3 linked regions of the Rhinolophus ferrumequinum genome follow. The protein of the gene in region 2 interacts with the protein of the main gene of each other region in a biochemical or structural test. Links are inferred from orthologs where the notes say so. Each region holds a gene or a part of one and is shown on either strand. Other genes may lie near its edges. The genes, in order: PARP1, CEBPA and SMARCA4.

What was found.
Region 1: the proteins of CEBPA (region 2) and PARP1 form a complex in vitro, tested with the Homo sapiens proteins (2 studies listed by BioGRID, with this or other methods). The link is inferred for Rhinolophus ferrumequinum from reciprocal best matches to the Homo sapiens genes CEBPA and PARP1.
Region 3: the proteins of CEBPA (region 2) and SMARCA4 form a complex in vitro, tested with the Homo sapiens proteins (2 studies listed by BioGRID, with this or other methods). The link is inferred for Rhinolophus ferrumequinum from reciprocal best matches to the Homo sapiens genes CEBPA and SMARCA4.

What each region holds. Positions count from the first base shown.
Region 1 is NC_046310.1:14,340,606-14,344,423, forward strand, and holds the start of PARP1 (poly [ADP-ribose] polymerase 1), read right to left. Parts: upstream 2,246-3,818; 5' UTR 2,044-2,245; coding exon 1,924-2,043; intron 1-1,923. UniProt on the Homo sapiens protein: Poly-ADP-ribosyltransferase that mediates poly-ADP-ribosylation of proteins and plays a key role in DNA repair.
Region 2 is NC_046298.1:34,512,928-34,516,745, reverse strand, and holds the start of CEBPA (CCAAT/enhancer-binding protein alpha), read left to right. Parts: upstream 1-886; 5' UTR 887-1,860; coding exon 1,861-2,925; 3' UTR 2,926-3,818. UniProt on the Homo sapiens protein: Transcription factor that coordinates proliferation arrest and the differentiation of myeloid progenitors, adipocytes, hepatocytes, and cells of the lung and the placenta.
Region 3 is NC_046301.1:39,452,661-39,456,260, forward strand, and holds the start of SMARCA4 (transcription activator BRG1), read right to left. Parts: upstream 2,476-3,600; 5' UTR 2,330-2,475; intron 2,309-2,329; exon of another isoform or gene 2,134-2,308; intron 1-2,133. UniProt on the Homo sapiens protein: ATPase involved in transcriptional activation and repression of select genes by chromatin remodeling (alteration of DNA-nucleosome topology).

The sequences.
Region 1 (3,818 bases), on a different chromosome or scaffold from region 2:
GGTTCAGAAGTTGATTCCTCAATGGAGCCACCCCAGACTCCCCCAGACAGAGTTCTCCCTCCTCTGTGTCCCTGCCTCATCACACTGGCTACTTAGGTTTCTGTCCGTCCTCCACAAAACAGGGTCTTCTGTGGCTGCCGGGGGAAGACTATGGATGTCCCTTTCTCAGAAAAACATTTAAAAACACGTGACAAAAGACAGAGGCTCACAAAGAAAACCAATTATATTGAAATAATTTCCAAAACAGTTTCTTAAAAGTTTATAGTGAAACAGTAACTCATGAGCTTGAAAGCATTAAGTAACAAGATCTAATACTCACTCTCATAGCTACTGTAATTTTGAAGCAGTGATGAGCATAAATGGTAAATGATATGTAGAGAAATCCCCCAACCAATGTAAAGTGATATGAAAATATCTGTAATTACCATTGGTGACAAAAATCACAAGTACTACTAAGATGCCTTTGTGGCTTACACTCATAATGGGAGGTAATGACTTTTATCTAGAGGTTAGTGACGATTGAGATGTAAATTTGTTCTCTAAACTCACTAGACCTTCTATTCACATCCCGGGCCCCAGCGAGGCTCAAAGATGCTTCGTGGGAGATGTGGCAATTCAGTTGGCAGGCCTTGTCTGCTATTCCAACCTTGATTTCCTGCCACTTCTGGGAATAGACTCCTAACCAAGCTCCCAAGATGGGCAAACAATGCCTAGGGCACAGCTCCATCAGGTGACATCCACCCCTGGAGAGCAATGTTTACCAGTCATCTTCCCTTTAACCAAACAGGAAGCTCCCTGGGATGGAGTGCCCCTAGTACCCGACATGGAGCCTGGAACCTCCTAGTGTTTATTGAATGAGTAAGTACTATGTGCCAGGTGCCGAAGATAACAAGATGACAGCCCCAATTCCTGCCACATCACGAAATGAGATAACCTTGGCACCCACTCCCCTCCACCCCTTCAATTTTTAAGTACTATTGAAAATCCGGTGAAGGCGCTCCCCTCATTCCTAAAACACATTTCTGCCTCACCATGGGGGGAAAAGTCAAGTTACCTTGACCGTGAACACTAAGGTGGGACAACAGACAGCTTTATGTTGGAGATGGGGAGACAGGGCAGGTGAGAACCAAGACCACCCAAGCAAACAGGAGCCAACTGGAAGCTGGAGGAGTCAGGCACCCCCTTGGCAAGGGCCTACAAACACACCGTCTCATAGAGGACTCCCAGCACCCACGGGCATCTCCCAAGCCTTAGGAAACCCCGGACGGGGATCCCCAATCTGTCAATAAGTCCCGAAGAGGAACCCCCCCCCAACACCAAGCCACTTACTCAAACCCCATAAGCTGCAAATGCATCAAGAGATGCAACTATGAAGCGAGGAAGTTGGGGGAAATGTTATTTTAAACCACAAATCGGGCAGAAAGTGAATGCACTGTACAGATTATGACACAGAATTGCATAGTTTTGCATAACTTTTAAAAATGAGGGTGAGCGACTGTTGAAATGATAGCCCAAAATAGGCGTTTTTTTTAAAAAAAAAAATCCTCCCATGTCAGTGGCCGCCATCAATGCAGAGCAAAAATCTTCCAGAACAAGCTAGGTCAAAATCAGAAGAGCCTCAAAAGGCCACGCACACATTTTTTTCCGCCAGAGACTAACGGTAATAGAAGCGGTTCCTTATTTTTACAAAACAAAAGGCACCACCAGTTCCAGACTGTATTTCCCGGGCTTTTCCTGCAAGATCAGCGAAATCTTCCGGAGGGTCCGCCCCGTGGGCCACACGCTGGACGAGCAGCAGCAGCGCCTACAGGCCTCGCCAAGGGTCCGAGGGACCGGCCCGGCCCGCTGCTCCGGGCAAGCCCTCCCCCACTCCTCCCGGAGACGGAAGCCCCGCCGCGCACAAAGCGGCCCTCCCGCCCGCACCTGCACCATGATGGCCATACGGAGCGAGTCCTTGGGGATGCTCTCGCTGCATTTCTTGCAGGAGGCGCGCCCGCTCTTCGCATACTCGACCCGGTAGAGCTTGTCCGAGGACTCCGCCATCGTACTCCTCGTGCTGCTGCAGCTCCGGGAGCCCGACGCCGCCCCCTGGAGACCCGCTGCCACCGCCTCTCCACCCCGCGCGTGCGTGCGTGCGTGCGTGCGTCCGTCCGTCAGTCTGCTCTCTGCAGGAGCCCGAGCACCCAGAGCCGTCGCCGAACACGCCGCGCCGACCACCCGCCGCTCGCGGATAGATTGCTGATGCCTGGTGGCGGGAACGCCCCCGGCGCACGCGTTTAAGGGGCGGGGCCGCCCGCACGCGCGCCCTCTGCCGACCGCGGCGGGCGGTTCTTGCCCCGCGCCTGCGGCTGCGCGAGCTCAGCTGGCTGCTGCTGCCGGCAGAGCCTGGGCTGGTACCGCCTGTGCACCTATGGGAAGGACCGGACGCCACCTCATTAACCATTTTGTCCCCTGGGAGGCTTACATACTCTCCCAACTAATTCTACCTTCATTCCCTTTCAATGAGCGCGTCACTTTACAGTTGTTGGAAACAACTCAATAATTGTGAAACTCATCACTACTTGAAATTGCAATAGTCAGAAGATCGGTTGCTACTAGATTTTTATTTAGATTTTGTTATTTTTTTGTTATAGAACTATATTATATAACTGCGTCCTTTTTTAATCCTATACATTTTGTTCTATTCATTTAAAACATAATGGGGTGTGCTGTAGAGGACAAGAAAAAACAGGATGAATGAAACTCGTAAGACATGTTAAGCATAGAGAAGAAGAAAGTTAGTAGCTTAAGAGACATGATACTGACGTAGGCAATTATGTTGTGAGACATAGGCAAGAACCCTAAATACGGTAAGTGACCTGTTAGATATGTTGAAGGTAAATACAATAAGGGGAATACAGGATGGAACAAATAAAAGAATTTTGCTTAGAGGATAATCTGATCATTTGACTTCTGGGCCTCTCCTTGGTGGTAATATTATGGTCTGATTCTGGCTCCCATATGCTCCGCCCCAAAACAGCAGATAAAACCCGTGTGTGTTCTGCAAGCTGATTGGTGAGCTACATCTGTGGCCAGGCATACTTCTCCTTGTGTCTCTCTGACAGGTGACTGTGAGTTGGCTTCAGTACTCTGTTGAGTAGCCTCGAGCATCCTCAGCTCTGGTCTTTGTAACCCTACCATCAGTGGGGCTGGCTGATGCAGCAGAGAGAAAACTTATGAACATTGCATAACTTGGTGTTTCCATGGTGTGGTCCTTCCACCTTGCCTCTGTCCTGTCCTATGTGTGTTTTCTGCCCCACGTTATTCCCCTCGCCGCAGGAGGTTTAAATCAGGTGTTTCGAACTGATGTAATAATCCGTGTAATTCAGGCATCTTAATCTGGTCTGGGAGGCTTTCTGTTTTGTGACTTCTGACACAGTTTGCCTGATACTGTATCTGGAAGCTACCATTGCATTAGAGGACCATAGACTTCATTGGACAGACAAGGGGGTCCTGAGCACACACACCAAGGTTAAGGATTCCTGCCCTAGACCCCTAAGGAGAGCGAGCGATACCCAACTGCCTTCTCAATATTTTTATTTGGATGTCTTATATTCTTCCCCAATGATGTCCAAAACCTCCTCCACTGTTTCTCGTCTCAGGGAATGGTTCATGGTTCTCTGCATTGCTTAGGTCAAACTCCTGGAATCAACTTGACTCCTTTTCTCTTCTGTCCAACATCCAATTCATCTCTGAATCCTGACTTCCATAGTGTCTTACCACCTTCCCGTCAGCACGGCTGTCAATGCCACCATCATCTTTTGTGGTTCTGAGACAGT
Region 2 (3,818 bases):
AAATGGGTCCTGCATCAGGCCAAGAAAGCAGCTCCTCAGGCTCACATTGGTTATTTAGTTAATGTATCTACTTTTACTTCCAGTCCAAAAGCATCAAGCTAAAAATACCTTGTGTCTGACCAAAAAATGAAGCAGTTGGGTCATTAATCATTGGGAATATGTTGAGTAGGAACTTGATTAAAGCACAATGAGAGTCCTCCAGTAAAAGTTGCTTCTTTACTGTGACCACGGCCATGTTTTTGCACGGTGAGATAGGCTTCCACCTTGAGGGTTCCTGGGCAGGTTGTGGTGCCTTGCCAGGCCTTGGAAGGGTGGTGTCTGGAAGAGGGTCTTGACCAGCGCAGCCTCGCGGTTCTCAGGGAGGTACACCTCCATCCAGCACCCAGGCAGCTTTGGGCTTCAGTGTAGGACGTAGTAGGGGCGGTGAGGATGGGGGTAGAGGCTGGAGCGGGCCGGCCCAGGAGGCCCCATGAGAACTCCATATAGAACGCGCGAGGCGCCACGTGGCTGAGGAACGCGCTGCCATAAACCCCTTTCCAGGGCACCAATGAGTGCGGAGGCGGCGCAATGCCCAGGGGCACCCCGGCTTGGCCGCCTTGTTCCCCAGGATCGCGCGAACTCAGCGCCCTGCGAACCACCCAGCAGGTTTCTCCCAGTAGGTGCTCCGACCCTGGTCCTCCGAGACTCCGAGGCCGGGGCTCCCTCGAAACCCTCACTTCCCCCTGGAGCCCACCTGAATGGGGAGTGGGGAAAAAGCAGTGGATTCCAACCCAGTTGACAGTCAGGTCCGCTTCGGGATCCTCCGCCCGGAGGCATGTTCGCCTCCTGTGCGCTCCCTCTCGCCCCGGTACCCCAGCCCCGAAGTCCAACTCCCCCCTTTGCACAGGAAAAAATTGGTGGCCCTGCGCGGAATAGCCGCACCAGCCCCACGCGCCTAGCAACCCTAGAGCTCCGGCTAGGAGAAGTAATTAAAAAGAAAGTTTTCCAGCCCAAGCGAACAGACCAAACAGGTCCTCCAGGCTCTCTGGACGCGGCCTCCTCCTCTTCCCTCCGCTCCCCGCGGGGTCCTAGCGCCCGGCGCTACTGAGCCCGTGGGACTCTGAAGTGCTGCGAGAGGCGGAGCGGTACGTCTGCATGGAATCGGTGGGGTATCCTGGAGATCAGAGATAAAGACGCAAAGTCACCTCGCTCCGGGCTTGGCGGTGCGGTGGTGTACGCTAGGCCTTACCTCCAAAACTGTTCCCTGCCGCTCCCCACCCCGTTCCCGGCCCCTTGTCCACGCCGCGGCTTTCCAAAGACCCTGATCCTGGACAGGACTGATTCTAGCTTTTAAAGCAAGTCCGCGTCACAGTAGCTCAGAGATGAAGACTTGCCCTCCACCAACCCCCGACGCGGCGGCTGGGTGCTGTTGGGCTCCCCTGGCAGTTGGCTGGAAGTGAGTGTCCTGAGGAGGTTAGAAAAGGGGGGCCCGCCGCCGACCACGTGTGCGTGGGGGCGACAACTCGGCCGAGAGTGGGGCATGGCTCGCGGATCACAGCTCTGCTCCTGGCGCTGGAGGCATGAGGTATTGTGTTGCGGCCTCTCTCGCCAGCGCTGCTCTCCTGCCCCACTCACGGTCCCCTCCGGAAGGCAGGCGCTAAGACCCAGGAGGCGCCGCTCGCCGTCGCCAGTAGTCAGACACTAGAGGGCGACCGCTACCCTTAGTATAAATGCGGGGCCCGCGCGGGCCTGGCCATTCGCGACCCGGAGCTGCTGGGGCGCAAGCTAGTAGGGGCTCTTGGTGGGCGGCGGCAGCAGCGGCGCCCCGCGCAGCCTGGAGGCCGCCGAGGCTCGCCATGCCGGGAGGACTCTAGCTCCCCCATGGAGTCGGCCGACTTCTACGAGACGGAGCCGCGGCCCCCGATGAGCAGCCACCTCCAGAGCCCCCAGCACGCGCCCAGCAGCGCCGCCTTTGGCTTTCCGCGGGGCGCTGGCTCCGCGCAGCCCCCAGCCCCACCTGCCGCCCCGGAGCCACTGGGCGGCATCTGCGAACACGAGACGTCCATCGACATCAGCGCCTACATCGACCCGGCCGCCTTCAACGACGAGTTTCTGGCCGACTTGTTCCAGCACAGCCGGCAGCAAGAGAAGGCCAAGGCGGCCGCGGCCCCCGCGGGAGGCGGCGGCGGCGACTTTGACTACCCGGGTGTCCCAGTGGGCCCCGGAGGCGCCGTTATGCCCGGGGGAGCGCACGGCCCCCCTCCCGGCTACGGCTGCACGGCGGCCGGCTACCTGGACGGCAGGCTGGAGCCCCTGTACGAGCGCGTCGCGGCGCCGGCGCTGCGGCCGCTGGTAATCAAGCAGGAACCGCGCGAGGAGGACGAGGCAAAGCAGCTGGCGCTGGCCGGCCTCTTCCCCTACCAGCCGCCGCCGCCGCCGCCACCCCACCCGCACCCGCCGCCCTCGCACCTGGCTGCTCCGCACCTGCAGTTTCAGATCGCGCACTGCGGCCAGACCACCATGCACCTGCAGCCCGGCCACCCCACGCCACCGCCCACGCCAGTGCCCAGCCCGCACCCAGCCCCCGCGCTTGGCGCCTCTGGCCTGCCGGGCCCCGGCGGCGCGCTCAAGGGGCTGGCCGCTGCGCACCCCGACCTCCGCGCGGGCGGCGGCGGCGGCGCGGGCAAAGCCAAGAAGTCGGTGGACAAGAACAGCAACGAGTACCGGGTGCGGCGCGAGCGCAACAACATCGCGGTGCGCAAGAGCCGGGACAAGGCCAAGCAGCGCAACGTGGAGACGCAGCAGAAGGTGCTGGAGCTGACCAGTGACAATGACCGCCTGCGCAAGCGGGTGGAACAACTGAGCCGCGAACTGGACACACTGCGGGGCATCTTCCGCCAGCTGCCCGAGAGCTCCCTGGTCAAGGCCATGGGCAACTGCGCGTGAGGCGCGCCGCGGCGGGACCGCCCTGGGCTGGCCCTTGGCTGGGACCCAGAGAGTGGTTTCGGGTCTCCGAATCTCAAGACTGCCCCAGCCGCGAAAGCCAGGACTAGGAGATTCCGATGCCATATGAAAGCCTGCCCTGTCGCGCATGCCCCTTGCCTTCTTCTGCGTGGGACACGGTGCGTCTAAGATGAGGGGTCAGGCAGTGGTTTCTCCCTGCAAGAGAGGAGAAGCGCGGTAGGGCCGAGCCGGGAGCCCGGCGACTCTAGTATTAAGGAATATTCTTGTGCCTTGGAAATGCAAATTTGCAAACTTACCGCTCCGATTCCTACCAAGTAGGGGGAGCAAATATGTGCCTTGTCATTTTATTTGGAGGGTTCCTGCCTCGTCCAGAGGCTGCAAGGCTGCAGCAGGCCCCCATGAGAGAAGGAGGAGTGCAGGCCCCCAGCAGAAGGAAATTTAAGGGAGCAGAGATCCGACAAGCCAGCCCCAGCTGCTGCTCAGCGCCTGTCCTTGGAGGGGAGGAAACACAGGGATCTGGGGCTTTGAACCTAAGGTCGTTCCCCTAGTTCCACATGAAGGTGGAGGGTCTCTAGTTCCTTGCCTCTCACCTCCCAGCCTGCAACAGGTTGGGCTTCCAGGGCAGAACTTCCTGAGATGGGGGTCACCAAGAGACCCATGGGAGCTCCCACCCCCAGTCAGACCAGAAAGCCAGGTGTGGGTTAGCTATAAGGACATATGTTCATGGGAGTGTTGGTCTGGTGGAAGAGGGGAACTAGAGGTCCTGCGGTCTGGGGATTGGGGAAGGGGTGAAGGGACACTGGGACCATCAGCCATGTCTGTACTATATGTCGCCAGCATTGGCATACAAACATGAAGCACAGTCAGTCCATCCC
Region 3 (3,600 bases), on a different chromosome or scaffold from region 2:
ATTGTAAGGCAAATTAGTAAAATACATATAACTAGCTCACCATATGCCGGGTGCTGCAGTGTGTTAAGCAGCTTCAAACCGTGTTTCCCCGAAAATAAGACCTAGCCGGACAGTCAGCGCTAATGCGCCTTGTGGAGCAAAAATTAATATAAGACCCGGTCTTATTTTACTATAAGACCGGGTCTAATATAATATATACCGGGTCTTATATTAATTGTTGCTCCACAAGGCGCATTAGCGCTGACTGTCCGGCTAGGTCTTATTTTCGGGGAAACACGGTATGTTACCTCATTCAATCCTCACAACCACCGTTTGAGGTGGCATCACTGTCATGCCTGTTTCACAAGTTGGGGGGGACCCACTGATAAGTACCTTGCTCAAGGTCAAGCTAAGATTTAGAATCCAGGAGGTCTGATTCCAGAACAGCACTCCTCACCACCATTCCACACTAACTACCAACCCACACCCTCCTTCTGGGGGAATGAGGTTTGGGAAACAATAGCCTAGAAAGTTAAAAACCAACAACAACTAAAATGTTTCCTGCTTACAACCCACCACTAATCAGTCCTGTACCAAGCATTTCACGCACATGTTCACTCAATCCTCCCAAGGGCCCTTCACTCATTGCACAAACGTTTTGCTAAGGGCCTACCATGTGCCAGGCCCAAAGAACACTGCGGGAGACAGCACCCTACTCTGATGGCCCTCAGAGAAGACTGGATGTGGAATTACAACCCGGAGTGAACGTCTACACAGGAAAGGACCAAGGCAACGTGCGAGTGTAGCAGAGGGAACAATGACTATTACAGGGCAGTCAAAAGCCAAGCCTGGACATCCTCCCTGACTCGAGTAGAGGCCCCCTCTTCCAGGCAGCCTCCTTGATCTCAGGCTCCAGCTACTCCCCTGGGTATCCACTGTGTTCCTTTCACAGTAAGAGTTGTGAGGATTAAATGAAAGGCCAAGGGGAGTAGTTCCCACATTTACCACCTGTTCTCCTACAAGACTGGAGAGGCTCCTCAGGGCATCCAACCACCAACCATCTGACACCCAGTTAGGGACTCAATGGATATTTGCTGAACAATGAAGAAGGAGATTGAACCAGACAGTAACAACAGGGCTTCTCACTTCCCAGGAACCATTTTTCAGGTTTTCACCAGCTCCATTTGTGACATTATTCCCATTTCACAAAGGAGGAATCTAAGAGGTACAGAGATTAAACTATTTGCCTAAAGTCACACAGCTAAGTGACTGACAGCGCCAGCAATGAAACCCTAATTCCGTCTGTCAATTCAAACTGAAAACTTGTTTCAAATTCCTGGGAAGTGGCTCTTACACTTATTTATTCCCTACTTTTCCAAGGATTCACTGGGAGAAAAAAATAAAAATCAAGACTGGTGTCTTCAAGACCGTCAAAACACTCTCTTAAAGGACCATGTTTTAAATAAAAGCCTTCATCTGGAAAATCAATTGGGAGGAAGGGAAAAGGATGCAAAACAAATACAATGCTTTCAACAGCAAACAGTGCCGGTCCTCCTCCACTTGCTGTCGACCACTCAGGGCAAACATTTTGAAGTCACTACTTGCAAGGGATGGGCCAAGTCATTTACCTTTCCTTGAAAACCTAGAATAAGTGATTTTTAAAATAAAATCTTAGGTCGGCTAACCCAGGGGTGCTGCCAGGAGGCACTGGACACATCTGGGTTTTTTCTTACGGAGCCTCGATCACAGCCTCCCTAAAGGGCAATATTCGGTTCGGACCTTTTACAACATAGCCAGAAAATCCCCGAAGCCCGGCTATTGTTGCAGCCGCCGCAGAGACCCCTGGCCCGCCAAGGGGGCAGCAAGCTTTGTCCCGCGACCCTGGCGAGAGCGCGCGCGGGGGTCGCGCGGCCTCCACGCGGCCCGGGCCCCCACCCCACCCGCCCGCGCGGATGCTACAGCCGCCGCGGCCTCGCTACACTGTGGCTTTCCCCGCGCGCGCGGTGCCGGACGGGCTTCTTGACCCTCGGGCGCCGCCGTACCCCAGCCCTGCTCTGGGCGCCAGTGGCCCCCTCCCCCCTCGGCCCCCCGGCTCCATTCAAACCACCCTCCCAAGCCCCGCGCGGCGCTCCCCCCGCGGCCCGCGTTCCTTACCGGGAGCCGCCGGCACCGCCGCCTTCCCGGCACCGCCCCCGACCCTCCGAGCGGGGCCGGAGGCAGAGTAAGCTTCTCGCCTCTCCTCACGAAACAAAGAAGCCGCCGCCGCCACCGAGCGAGAGTAAGCCTCGTGCGCGCGCCCGCCTCGGCCGCCCCCCCACGCCTCCCGCGTCCCCGCTGCGCGCGCACTCACCGGCTTCCTCCCCCCCACGGACGGCCTCTCTCGCTTCCGCCGCCCGCCCGGCCTCGTGCGCGCGCCCGCCCGCCCTTCCGCTTCCAGCGCGCGTGCGCGTGGGACGAGGGCTAGGGGAGGTGGGCCGGACCAGAGAGAGCGTACGCGCCCGACGCACCTCCCACCGATTTCCAGGAAGGTCCTGCGCTTGCGCACAGGCGTCTTCTTCTTCCGCACGTCGCGCGTCCCGACGCCGCCGAGCGTGCGCAGAGCGGGCGCCACTGCGGCGGTGGTGGCGGCGGCGACGGCACGTTGGGGGATGGGACGGGGAGGCGGTGGCGTCTGCAGGGAAGGGATGGCCGAGTGGTCGTGATAGTCGGAATGAGGACCTGAGGCCCTGTGCGTGAAGCTGGACTGAGGTTGAGCAAAGTCGGCCAAGCGCGGGCCTGAGAATCGCTTTCATCCCTGGTAGGGGGATGGCGGGGCCTGTTGCGAAGCCAGGTGGGCCCCCACCATACCTGTCTTTTCTGCCTACCTAGTTCTATTAATTAGTTTAGCAAATATTTATTAACCTGCTCCTGTGTCCCAGGCGCAAGTGCAGCGGCACAGAACAGACAAAAATCTCAGACCGCTGTGGTGCTCACGGTCTAGTAAGGGAGGCAAGTGAGAGACAAGAGAAATAAGTAAAATACGTTGTGTTGAGACAGAGACATCTTGGGTCGTGAACATTTTAAATGGGACAGCCAGGGAAGGGCCCGATGCGAAGAAGACATTTGAGTCGACATCAAAGCAGTGAGAGAGCCTTGTTCCTAGTGTGAAGGCCCAGAACTCTAGGCGGCCTCTTCTGTGTTCTGAAAGTATCTCCAGTGCCACCTCATTTAGTCCCCCAACTGGACAAACGCTCCCCAAGGTCAGGTTCCACAGCCCGTGACTCTCCCCACCTTGCCTCTTTATCCTGCTCTTCATTTTTTAGGTGTCAGCTGATTCACCAACTCAAGCCTCGCCTCCTTTTTGACCACTGACTCCTTTTCCCTTCACATTTCTTGGGTACCCTCTTTTCTGCTGTCTGTCTCCCTTCCCTCAATTTAAATGACAAAGAAGTTAATTTTAGTCATTAGTGAATACCCAGCATCGCTAGCATGCTTTGTAGCGTAGAGTAGAAGAGGAGATCGCACACTGGAATCAGAAAGACCTGGATTTAAAACCTGACTCTATGTTAGTAGCTGGTGGGTGCCAGGCAAGTTTATTGGACTCATGTACACTACCCTTTCTTCACCTGTAAAATGGAAATA